2 linked regions of the Arabidopsis thaliana genome follow. The gene in region 1 interacts genetically with each later gene. Each region holds a gene or a part of one and is shown on either strand. Other genes may lie near its edges.

Region 1 (6,487 bases):
CCGAGCTTCTGTAACTCAAGATGGCGTCGTTCCCCATTACTGCATGTGTTCCATGCATAATCAAAAGTGCTCAAAAGCATCCCTTCTGTTGCAGCAGCTTCCTACTTAATTAGATCCCATCTGATAAATCACGGTAAAGCAGAGAAACAATCACATGAGTTAGGATCAAAGGTGTATACGTAGCAGACCAACTAGAGAAGATAAGAAGACATGTATTTACTGGTGCCCATCTATAAAAAACTGAGTATCCTTCCGAGAATATGTCCTCATATAAACCCGAGGGCAAATGACCACCGCGTCTTCCATAATCCTGGAGTCTTGATTTTACGTCTACACATTGTCCGACATATACACCAAGAACATTATTATCAGGATCAAAGTTTTGGCCTTGGTCTTGACCGATGACGCCTACACCGAGCTCATACAGACCCGTACAACGTTGAGGGGGTAAGTCCTCATGTCTGTATCTACGGACCCTTTCTTTTCTATTATTGAAATCTTTCCAATCATTGTGTCTTATAAGATTCCGCCATTTGGAGAATGCGATGTCGTGTATAGTCAGCTTGTAGTCTTCTCTCTTGAACATAGTGGGGACGGCGGAACTGAATTCCTTTCCGATCAATCTGGTGATACATTATGACCATTAATTTAAAGCCTGAAGGACCAATAATAGTAAGAAAAAAAACAGAGGATAAAAATGCAACAACATTGTGAATAGATGAGATGATAAGAGACCTATTGTTCAAGAGCTGACTTATCCCCGGCATAATGGTTGTGCTTTTTTGCGTGCTAATGATTGTGTGTCGTATATGGTTAAACTTCAACTTCGCCATCTTCGATAATAGAACAAACGACATTGTCAAACAAAATAAAACAGAACAAAACGGTTCTGCTACAGAAAAATAATGAAAGAAGGCAGCTCTGATATATTACGATCGTAGATATATGGAAGAAGCGAAGGGAAGTTGAAAAAGAAATGGGTCGTTTACAGTTTTTCGCATCATGGACAAGTAACAAAGTGGAGGCATGGCGGGAAACGGGTCTATGTATTTTTAAATCTAAAAACATCTAATGTAATGCAAAGATGCAAGTCAACGATGTTAATCAAAACTGATTTTAAATTTATAAAAAATGAGATTGTGAGTCATCCAGTACAGATGATTGTTCAGCAAACCAATACCGAAACCAAAACGGTTTTGGTACAAACAATTCTGGTTAGGTAACAAATAACATAAACAAGTGATGCAGAGGTTAGGTGATTCTCATTCCCTTATGCTCTTCACATCTCTTACGTCCTTTTACCGGAGATCTCTCACAGATCAATCCATTGCCTAATTTAACTCCACAAGCTACGTTTTTTGCTGCCTCTGGCTGAAAATATACCGGCGAAGTATCGCTGGAAGTTTTCTCCTTATGTTGCCAACACCTTTTGCTTCCTTTAGGAGAACTTCTTGTGCAAGGTAACCCATTCTTTGTTGTAGCTTCACAGAAGCGAGTCAAAGCTTCTTCTTCGATTGACTCGGTATGCGATTCGGGATCAGGTTTCTCGTCTTTGACGGTTTTCTCACGGTCAGTTTGGTTAAGAAGAAAAAGAAAAGCATTGATCCTCATGCCTTTATGATCCTCACATCGTTTTCTTCCAGGAACAGGTCTCTTATTGCAAGGTTCCATGTCAGGTAAGATCACTCCACACACAACATCAGAGTCTTTATGATTGTGATGATCTTGTCCAGTGAAAATCTCGGACTTTGGCGGTGTCTGTTTTTCGGGTGAAACACGGCAAACTCTCTGTCCTTTATGCTCTATGCATCTCTTTCTCCCTTTGACTGGACTTCTAATGCAACAGCCACCATCTTCAAGTAAGACTCCACAAACAATATCAGAACAAGAACCATCAACCTCATCAAATCTGTCTGAAACCGGTTGAGGTCTAGACCGGGTGAGTTTGAGTATTGAAGTGAGGAAATTATTACTCTTCTCTTCATCAACATCACAGGTTAGCTTCCTCTCTTCTTTAAGCACATGCTTCTCTCCTTTTATTCTGATACCAACTTGGTTCCGAAGAAAAGGAAACAGCATTCGAGATATACCGGACTTTCTCTTGCTCATAAACTCGCGATCACCGAGCTTCTTAAGCAAATCAAGCTGCCTTCGCTCCCCGTTACTTCCTTTGTTCCAAGCATAGTCAAATGTGCTCAAGAGCATCCCTTCTGTTGCCTCAGCTTCTCTCTTAGATCCCATCTGATACAATCACATGAGTTAGATCAAAGTTGTATACTTAGCAAACCAATATAGAAGAAAAGAAGAAATGTATTTACTAACCGGAGCCCATCTGTATAAAATCGAGCCTCCTTTCGAAAATATGTCTTCAAATAAACCTCCAGTAACAGCCTTAACTGGAGATTCAATAGTTTCACAGTCGTTAAGGTTGTTAACATTGCGCAAATGAGCACCGGATCTTCCATAACGCTGAAGTCTAGACCTAACACTTTCAGCTTGTCCTAGATATGAAGCAAGAACAATATCTGGTTCAAGCTTTCGACATTGTTCTTGACCGATGACCGCTACACCGAGCTCATACAGACCCGGACAAGATTTACGAGGTAAGTTCTGGACTCTGTATCTACCTACACCATCTTTTCCGTTTTTGAAATCTTCCCAATCGTTGGATCCTATAAGTACCTGTGCAGCATCAAACTTTACACAATCAGATAAAACTAAGATCTAAAACCAACCACTTCAAGTAGCAAATGAAACAGAATTAGGCTAATTAGATATACATATAGTTAGCGACCAATTCTAACAGAAATCCAGAGAAAATGCATTTGGGACAAAGCAGACACACTAGGCATTCAAAATGGGATCTTTACACTGAAATCCTGGAAATGGAAGATCAGATTTTTCGATTCAACTGAAAATCTGAGAATTCCGAAATGGGTTTCAGAGAAAACACAAGATCGAGCGAAAATTCTCAATCTACAAATCGAGAAAGAGAAAGACAGAGGACCTGCCACTTGGAGAAGACGGTGTCGTGTTTAGTTCGTTTGTAGTCTTCTCTTTTGAAGACAGTGGGGACGACGGCGAAGGAAACGCCGTCGCCGAATTCCATTTCGATAAAACCGATGATATAGTGTGACCGTTAAATTAAAGCGGACTTGGTCTTTTTTCTCAGTGCTCGTTAATTTAGAGACACCACCGTTAAAAATGAGAAAAGTTTTTCTCCCCTCCAAAAATGGATGTTTATCCTTCCAAAATGGATGATTTTTGTTTTATTCTGTCCGAAGGAAAAGTTTCAAGTTACCGTTGGAACGGTGAAGCTTCTTCTGTACGGTTTATTAGTTACCGTTGGATTTTTTTTTTTTAATCTACATTAGTCAATGTTGACAACCGTAATTAGCATAAGGGAGGGAATCTACATTCTTTAATGAGAATACTTAACTTTTCAATTGGTCAAATTTTCTTCTATCTTTGGGATTTTTTTATTACACTTTTACTTGATTTGGCAAATGTTATTACCAAATATATTGATGAGAACCAGAAATTGGTCATGTGATATTCGTTTTCAACCAATCTTGTCTATCCTTTGTTAATCATTAGTATTTTAGAATAAATTGAATATTTACAAAATATGCGTAAAATAACTCTTTTTTAAAAAAGTAATGTCAAAGACACAAATACTTATCAAATTAATATTTGTCATGTTTTATAAGAAAACACATTTAATTTATGTTGTTGAATATGTAAATCTGTTCATCGGGTATTTCTACCCACCGGATTGTGGCATTTGGTTGTCGACGATCCGCGTCAAATTTCACTTTGGAAGTTCTCCAACCGTTATATATAGGGAGAACTAATGTTCCACAACATCTCACAAATGTGGTCATTATCTTAACACTTAACTCATGAGATATACTTGTTTTAATTTGATGGCTTGCCCTAAGGATGCTAACCGCGTTGAAGCTATAAGCCAATCAATGTGTCTATGGAATGTCGACAAGCGGCTCACCTATCCCCTACCATCTAAGGACCCCGTTTCCGAAGCCGAAAAAAAAAGTAAAACTTAAAGATAACAATTCTGATACCACTTTATTAAAAAAAGAAAAAAAAAAACTGATTAGTGTCACTTTCCATGCTGCCATTAAGTCCAAAATGTTGTTTTCACCCTTTTCACTTAAGTAACAGTATATATTTACTAAATCATAAGATCTCAAAATTGTTTAATTTCTAAGATAACATAAGATATATTCGATTGCATCACTAGACTTTGATTTATTGAAGCACCTTTTATGCTTTAATAAAGTACAAATCATCTTTTCTCAACTTTTGTTTTTCACTTTCTCCACTGAAATATATAAAAAGCAACATGAAAAGCATGCAAGTGCAACGTTCAACTCCTTCATTATAACCATTCTAAGCTAATTTTTACTCTTTTTCTTTTGAAATGAATTATGAGAACCAATTCTATAATGGTTCTTTTGTTATAAAAGAAGAAAGTTGGCCATAACTTGTCCATGAAGAAAGAAAACAGTCTTATTCTTTCACTAATTCTAAAAAATTAAAATCAACAAATTTGAACCAAAAAAAGAATCAAGTATCATCCTTTGACACAACTCTCTTGGTTTCTTTTTGCTCTCTTTAGAATAAAGCAGAGTACTTTGTGAATATTTCTTTATTCTTTTTATTATTCTTGGAATTTATTTAAAATACAAAAAAAAATACAGAGACAAATAGAGAGAAAGAAGAAGAAGAAAGAAACTCCACCAATCATATAATAATAATAACACACCATTGTCTCTTCCTTCAAACAGAGCTACAAATCCAAAATACTTCTTATTTGTCATCTTTCTCTGTTTATATTTTAATTGTTTGGATATTTGCTTTTATCTTCTACCAAATTCCTCTGATTTTGTCGAAGAAATTAGTAGCTGAAAATCCAAAAATCGGACTTACTTCATCAGCTTTTTGGCCCCACTTTACAAAGTATGAGCAAGTTTTTCTTGTTTTCTACAGCAAAGCAATGCTCACACCATTTTCGTGGAGCTTAAAGTCTTCAAACCCAAACTAAAAGCTTTGAAATTTCTCTGCAAGAAACAGAGAGAGAGATCTAGGGATTGGCTATTAAGAGAGAGAGAGTAGAGTACTACACTATTGGTTCCTGTGCTGTTGTGTTTTGTGCATCTGTTCTTGTGTTTCTCAGATAAAATATTAGTTTCAGTCTTTCAAAGACATTGAATCTCACACACTTACTAACACACACTCACACACGCGTTAATTTCTCAACTTTTTTTCTATTTATTTCTTTTAGCTTCTAGGGTCACTTGAGAAAGCATCTTGGATTGCGTGATACTTCCACTTTCTCATTTCAGAAGAAAAATGGGTTTAGATTGAGTGAAGTGTTAAAAGTATATGTAAGCAAGGGTTGAAGAAGAAGTTCTTTCAATTTCTGTATTTGTGATTTCCTTAATCTTAGCTAGAGAATGAAGCAGAAGGGTTTTAAAGAGAGAGGTGTTGTAGTGGGGAAGAAAGTAATGGTTGCTGTTAGAGCTTCAAAGGAGATCCCAAAAGCAGCTCTTTTATGGACTTTAACTCATGTTGTTCAACCTGGAGATCGAATTAGACTTCTTGTTGTTGTTCCTTCTAATTACACAAGTACACATCTTTTTCCTCTTCTCTTCTTTTTCGATTTGGCTACTTATTGGTGTTGAGTGGTGATAAATTTGGTCTCTTTGGTGCTGAATGATTTAGTTAGAATGGTGTAAAGATTTAATCTTTATGTCTTTGGTTTCTTTCAGGTAAAAAGATTTGGGGATTTTCGAGGTTCACTAGTGACTGTGCATCAGGTTATGGAAGATTTCTTGCTGGAACGAATTCGGATAGGAAAGATGATATTCATGAGTCATGTTCTCAGATGATGTTTCAGTTACACAATGTTTATGATGCAGAGAAGGTAGAGAAACTCACTTTTATTCATGTAGATTTAAAAAGAAACAGCTTTTTTGGTTAATGAGATTATAAAGAGTTTTGTTTGCTTTGATAATAATGCAGATAAATGTCAGAATCAAAATTGTTTTTGCTTCACTTGATGGAGTTATTGCTGCTGAAGCTAAGAAATCCAACTCAAACTGGGTGATTTTAGACAGGTAAATACTATGCAGATATACACGTGTGTGTGTGTGTGTTTTGAAAATGCATAGTTTAGTGATTCTTGACCTTTTGATAATTTTAAAACAGGGGACTGAAGTATGAGAAGAAATGCTGTATTGAGCAATTGGAGTGCAATCTTGTAGTAATCAAGAAGTCACAGCCAAAGGTTCTTCGTCTCAATTTGGTGAAAAATGCAGATACAGAGCATCCAGAAGCTATATCAAGGTTAGCTTCAAAGTCTGTCGAGTCTCGGAGAAGCTCAAGAACTGGAAAAAAGTTGAGGGAACCGTTTGTGACTCCAGCTAGCAGTCCAGACCAAGAAGTTTCTTCACATACTGATATA
Region 2 (6,411 bases), on another chromosome or scaffold:
TTTCTGTTTCCATAGATCAACAATACTTAAAAAAACAAAAATCAATACAATACGTCTCTTTTTAATACATGTGCATATTATAGTAGTCAAGTATATTTATATATATCTCAATTTCATATACTATTATCTAACTATATTTTTTAATGTTATTTTAGTTATGTTTATATTTTGGTAGGTCATATAATTCATGGATAAAAACTAATTGAAAGTATATTGGCCTGAAACATACATGTAGAGTATAGCGAAGAACTATTATAGTATATATATACTTATTAACTAGCATTCCTTTACACACTTTGAAATATATATACTTATAACTATTATAGTACATATATACTTATTAATTACTACTAGCATTTCTTTACACACTTTGAAATTAGAATTAAATCTATTCTTCCCATTACTTGTTATTTGTCAATATTTATTTTTGATGGTTTTTATATAATATACACATATCTAAGATGTCGTTTGTTTATAATTTCAAAGTGAGTAAAAAAAAATAAAAAAATAAGAGATACTCTCATAAGTTTGAAGAGATTACATGCCACTTTCAATGCATAAAATCAGTTTTATACATGGACAAGTGGTATGCAATCCCTCCAAAATGAATGAGAGAATCCTCTTTTTTTTTTCTTAACCACTTTGAAATTAATTAAGTATATTTTTAACTTCTAAATCCTCCCCATCCAACACCATTCCAAAACATATCCATTTAGAGTCGAAGAATTATCTAACTATATTATGTGGCTGGCCAGAAAAAGTTTAATTAGTTCCGATTTAATATGCAATCTATTATATTGAGTTTATATTAGGGCCTGAGATAGTTTTCTAATAAAACAAAAGTCAAGTAAGTAATCAAATGAAATATAGCTTCGATTTACTAAATTATACGTCATTTGTGATATAATGAAAAACGTTTCATGGATAAGTGGCAACTATTCTCTCCAAATTTAGTGAGTGAATTTTTCTTTTTCTTTCTTTATGCACTTTTAAATTGTAATTAGTTGTCAAATATCGCTTGACTAGTTTTCATTCAAAAATCATGAACTATCAATCTATCACTATAGTTGTAAGCTAAAATTCATTATACATATGTACACTAACATGAGTAACTATTTAATCTTCTTTTTGTTTTCGAAAACTCATTAGTCATTAGAGTTTTAAAGTCATGAAAAAAAAGAGAAAGAATCTTTTATTAAATTTGGAGAGAATAGTTGCCACTTGTCCATGCAAAGAAAACAAAAAATATCAAAAACGTTTTAACGTCACGTATTCTTCCTCACCCATACTTTCCCCTAATATATTCGTGCAGAGTCGAAAATTATTTTAGTATATTACTAAAATTGACAAAATCGTTACTTGATTATCATTTAGTAACGCCCTTATCAAGAAAAATGGAAAGTAGAATCGAACAAAATATTAATTAAATTCAGGAAAAATATTAATCGACCAAACATATACAGTATGGTTTTTTTGTTAAAGTTAAATCATAGAAGAATAACGAAACATGAATTGCAATTTTCTAAGAGTATGCATCTAGTTAAAACCCATGGAAATGTGTTATCATGTCGATAATCAATCATTCGACGAATTATAGAATATGGCATATAAATGGTATTTGTTAGTAACAATGACAACAATATATATAGATGATAGATAAATTTGTGTCAATCTAAGTTGTATATACTAACAAATTATAAATACCATTACACATTTTTCGTCTGTTATTCGTCGAATATTGATAGATTAACGAAATGATTACACATTTCCATAGTTTTAACTAGATGCATAATTTACAAAATTCAATTCATGTTTCTTTATTTTCTATAATTTAACTTTAACAAAAAAAACATATTTCTTTTGTCGCTTTTTTTTCTTCTGAAATATAATTAATGGAGTACTATATTGTTCCATTCATCTTTCCATAATTTTTTCTGATACGGGCGTTACTAAATGAAAGTCAAGTAACGATTTTCGTATGGGAGTTTGATATTCTAGCTTTAAGCTATGAGACAAATGTGCTATTTCAACCTAAGTCAAGTAATCTCAAAGGTACAATGAATCCTTCACTTCTCTTCCAAATCAGTTATCGTCTAAGTCTGTAGAAACAAAAAGCCTTTATTCTTGGTCGCAAAAATGTTCTTTATCCCTAAAAAAAAGTCGTAGAATCTACGTATATACAAATCACATGTTGACCAGTAAGTAATGAGAGTTAAATTGACTTTAAAACTAGAGTTAAATGTGGTAGAGAGAGAGAAGAAGACGCCATTGAATTCTGGAAAAAAGGAAAGAAGCAGAACTTTTGCTACACTTGTTCACCATGCACAATCCACTCGTCCCTTTGCTCTTGGTTCTAAACTTTAACCTAACCTAATCTCTAAACTATGGTTGAGTGTTAGTTTAGTGGCATTAGATCTTGTTGCGTTACTATCATCATAATAATCTTATCAAGATTTAGAAAATCTTAATCTTCCAAAACCCTAGATTCATGAATGTAGGTTATACAAATGTCACTTCCTTACCATAAATAGTAAAACAAAAATCATTAAAAACCAATGGTAAACCCAAATCTCTGATTGCCCAGCGTCCATTTTAAGCCTCTGTTTCGATCTGCACAACACACATACACACAACACAACACAAACCACAGTCTCTCTTTCTCTCTCTATCTATCTTCTCTTTCTCTCTCTATCTCTATCACTGAAACCCAAAGAGATCCACCATTTGTTCTTTTTTCCTTCACACAGAGAACTGTTTTCTTCCACACTTCCTTTTTACTAGGCAGTGTTAACCAATTGAGAGAGAAAAATGATGGTTGATGAAAATGTGGAAACCAAGGCCTCTACTTTAGTGGCAAGTGTTGATCATGGGTTTGGATCCGGGTCGGGTCATGATCATCATGGGTTATCGGCGTCTGTGCCTCTTCTTGGTGTTAACTGGAAGAAGAGAAGGATGCCTAGACAGAGACGATCTTCTTCTTCCTTTAACCTTCTCTCTTTCCCTCCTCCTATGCCTCCTATTTCCCACGTGCCAACTCCTCTCCCCGCACGTGTAAGCTCTTCACTCTTTTTTACTATTTTCCCTCTCTCTCTCTCTCTCTAAATATTATTAATTCAAAACTATTTTTTGTTATTTTTATAAGATCTGTGAGGATCCAAATAAAAATAGATTTAGAGTTTTGTATATTTTTCTATTGGATTGGTTTTATTAAAAAGATTCAATGTATATTGTGATGATGTCAGAAAATTGACCCAAGAAAGCTAAGATTCCTCTTCCAAAAGGAACTCAAGAACAGTGACGTCAGCTCTCTCCGACGTATGATACTCCCGAAGGTGATCTTTGATTATATATGATCATGATGATGATTAATGATGTTGGTGTTGATATGATAACTAATGATGATGATCCATATAGAAAGCCGCGGAGGCTCACTTGCCGGCACTTGAATGCAAGGAAGGGATTCCTATAAGAATGGAAGATTTGGACGGTTTTCACGTTTGGACCTTCAAGTATAGGTACTTTTATCATTTTACTCCTAATCAATGTTATGTAACAAAGCATAGCTTATATAGTTGAATCAAACTATTCAGTTACAAAATTGGTTAGCAAGAATTTCAAAATTGGCTAGTACGAATCTATAACGGATAGGTTATATCTGATCTTAAGATCTACATGGATAATTCTTGGTAGATCAATCATTTTGAAAGTATTCATGTATCCATGTCGATCTTAAGACCTTTAAAATAGCATCATTTCATTTAAGACTAAGCTAAAGTAAATGAGATCGTTAGAAGAAACCATAGATGTTTGAGTCTTGGCCTAATGTTGTGATCATTAGGTACTGGCCAAACAACAATAGCAGAATGTACGTGCTAGAAAACACAGGTAAAGTTACCGACAATCCCGGTTTTTGTTTTTTTTTATGATAATAAAAAATCGAATCAATGATTGTTAAAAATATTGGATCGAGCTGGGTATTATTTCCAGGCGATTTTGTGAATGCTCATGGTCTGCAGCTAGGTGACTTCATCATGGTTTACCAAGATCTCTACTCAAACAATTACGTACGTTACACGCTACTAAAAAGAAAATTCTACAAAACGTGTTACATGTTTAGGCTCAATTTTATTTATTTATTTTTACTTTAGGTTATACAAGCAAGAAAAGCATCGGAAGAAGAAGAAGTAGACGTAATCAATCTTGAAGAAGACGACGTTTACACAAACTTAACAAGGATCGAAAACACTGTGGTTAACGATCTTCTCCTCCAAGATTTTAATCATCACAACAACAACAACAACAACAACAGCAACAGCAACAGCAACAAATGTTCTTACTATTATCCAGTCATAGATGATGTCACCACAAACACAGAGTCTTTTGTCTACGACACGACGGCTCTTACCTCCAACGATACTCCTCTCGATTTTTTGGGTGGACATACGACGACTACTAATAATTATTACTCCAAGTTCGGAACATTCGATGGTTTGGGCTCCGTTGAGAATATCTCTCTCGATGACTTCTACTAGATAATCAATCGATGGGCTCATGGTATTCTTGATGGTGATCAGCTATTTAATATCCTTATAATATATATAAGAATTAAATGCAATTTGCATATATATTATCAAGTGTTGAATATAACATTACAGTTTATATGAAAATCATAGCTAGATGTGAGTCATGAAGGTGTGTTGTATTTGATGAATAAATGTTATTTAGTGTTACGGCGTTAATATATTATTAATCCTTTAAAGAAGATTTATGATACTAGTTTTCTTTTTATTGGAGATTATTTGTTTGTCTTGCAAACGTTAATCATTATATATACTAGAATTAAGGATTGAAATTTTTTGATGTTAAGTTTAGAAACAATTTATGTTGATAAAATCATTTTATGCTAGTAAAGTTTGTATTAAGCTACATCAATCTTATATATATAATCCCACACATTGCGTAGGAAAATTTAGTTATCACTAATAAAAAAAAGCACATAATTTAGAACACCTCAACTAATTGATAAGTAGGTAGTTAGTTACTATATATTTAATCAAAGATCAAAATGTGACAGTTGTAGTACCATCTCCTTATAAAAGCTATCTTACTGCAATAATCTTGTACCTCAAGGTACCCAAGATTTCTCATTCCTTCTTCTAAGTATAGTAATAAAGGATACCATGCTTTAAACTTTTCGGGGACTATTAAACTTCGAGGTTGTCAATTGATTAAAACCTTATACTGAACTGAAGTAACACTCCGTCTTATCTAGGAGACCTAGTTACCGCAAAAAAATTATTTTCTTTAGTAAATACTCGATAAAATTAAAGACCACTCTATTGGATTATAAACTTTATTCATGTCTGTTTTAATCGTCATATAATTTCGTCCCTAAACCATGAAACATCTCTTGTGAAATTAGAATATTATATGAAAGTAATATTCTTTAGATAAAAGCCGATTGTGTTTCCGAAATAAGATCCGATAGGACTTTTTAAGTTTTTGTCATAGGAATTAAGATATTATTTTCTGGGATGTAACTGGTTTAAAAAAAAGAAGAGATATTTAATAATACCTCATATGATCAAGCATTTGCTTTTAATTTTATCATCTTCATCTTCTTCATCTCTCTATCTCTCTCTCAATGCCAAACTCAAGTCCATCGTAGACCAGACGAGCTACAAGAGTTTGGTGTTATGTAACACTTTTATACTATTTTATTGTATATCATTCTTTTCAAACCAAGAACCATATTTTTCAAGTTTAACGGTTAACAAAACCAATAGATTTGTGAAATCGTAATTGTATTTTCTTACACTAAATCTGATTAAACACGAGAAGAATTACTCATCTAAACGAAATTCTAATATCTAATCACCAGTAATCTCCACAGGAACATCCACCATCTTTGAAATGGTGAAACCTCTTCGCATCTCTAACCACAAACTCTCTATCAACAATCTTTGAAATCAACTTGATCACATTGTGACAATCGCTGCAAACTCTCAGATTCTTGACCACATTAACCGTCGAGCCAGGAACCGTGTTCATGATCCCAAACGCAATCGCTAGTTTCTCGCTGTGAACTCTCAGTGTCATCTCTTTCTCTTCCTCATCAACATCATGACATACAGATGACGTGTTCGATACGTAACCTGCCTCTAACAGCTTCCTGTTCAGTTCTGCTAAAAACTCGTAAATCTTCTCACGCTGAGGATGCTCTTCGTCTCCGATCAAGAACACATGAACCTCACCATTCAACTCGAGTAGACTAAAACCTGGCGGTTTCACCAATCCGCGATTCTTCATGATCATTCTCACCCTCTCAACATCTTTCCAACGACCCGCATCAGCGTAGATATGCGAAAGCAGCATGTAGTAACCGCAATTCGAAGAGTCCAATTCAAACAA

The links. Genes that interact genetically often act in the same process or in processes that back each other up.
Region 2: of ET2 (region 1) and FUS3, changing one enhances a phenotype caused by changing the other (phenotypic enhancement), as found in Arabidopsis thaliana (one study listed by BioGRID).

The regions. Positions count from the first base shown.
Region 1 is NC_003076.8:22,963,133-22,969,619, forward strand, and holds ET2 (effector of transcription2), read right to left. Parts: upstream 3,267-6,487; 5' UTR 3,110-3,266; coding exon 3,008-3,109; intron 2,683-3,007; coding exon 2,323-2,682; intron 2,242-2,322; coding exon 1,252-2,241; 3' UTR 1,101-1,251; downstream 1-1,100. Other genes in the region: AT5G56770 (transcription repressor-like protein), read right to left, coding at 1-101, 221-623, 736-857; AT5G56790 (Protein kinase superfamily protein), read left to right, coding at 5,478-5,649, 5,793-5,947, 6,046-6,140, 6,232-6,487. UniProt on the Arabidopsis thaliana protein: Transcriptional regulator involved in the regulation of cell differentiation in meristems. Probably regulates the expression of various KNAT genes involved in the maintenance of the cells in an undifferentiated, merismastic state.
Region 2 is NC_003074.8:9,852,146-9,858,556, reverse strand, and holds FUS3 (AP2/B3-like transcriptional factor family protein), read left to right. Parts: upstream 1-2,344; 5' UTR 2,345-2,808; coding exon 2,809-3,051; intron 3,052-3,242; coding exon 3,243-3,332; intron 3,333-3,414; coding exon 3,415-3,515; intron 3,516-3,838; coding exon 3,839-3,885; intron 3,886-3,987; coding exon 3,988-4,064; intron 4,065-4,148; coding exon 4,149-4,532; 3' UTR 4,533-4,729; downstream 4,730-6,411. Other genes in the region: AT3G26782 (Tetratricopeptide repeat (TPR)-like superfamily protein), read right to left, coding at 5,875-6,411. UniProt on the Arabidopsis thaliana protein: Transcription regulator involved in gene regulation during late embryogenesis. Its expression to the epidermis is sufficient to control foliar organ identity by regulating positively the synthesis abscisic acid (ABA) and negatively gibberellin production.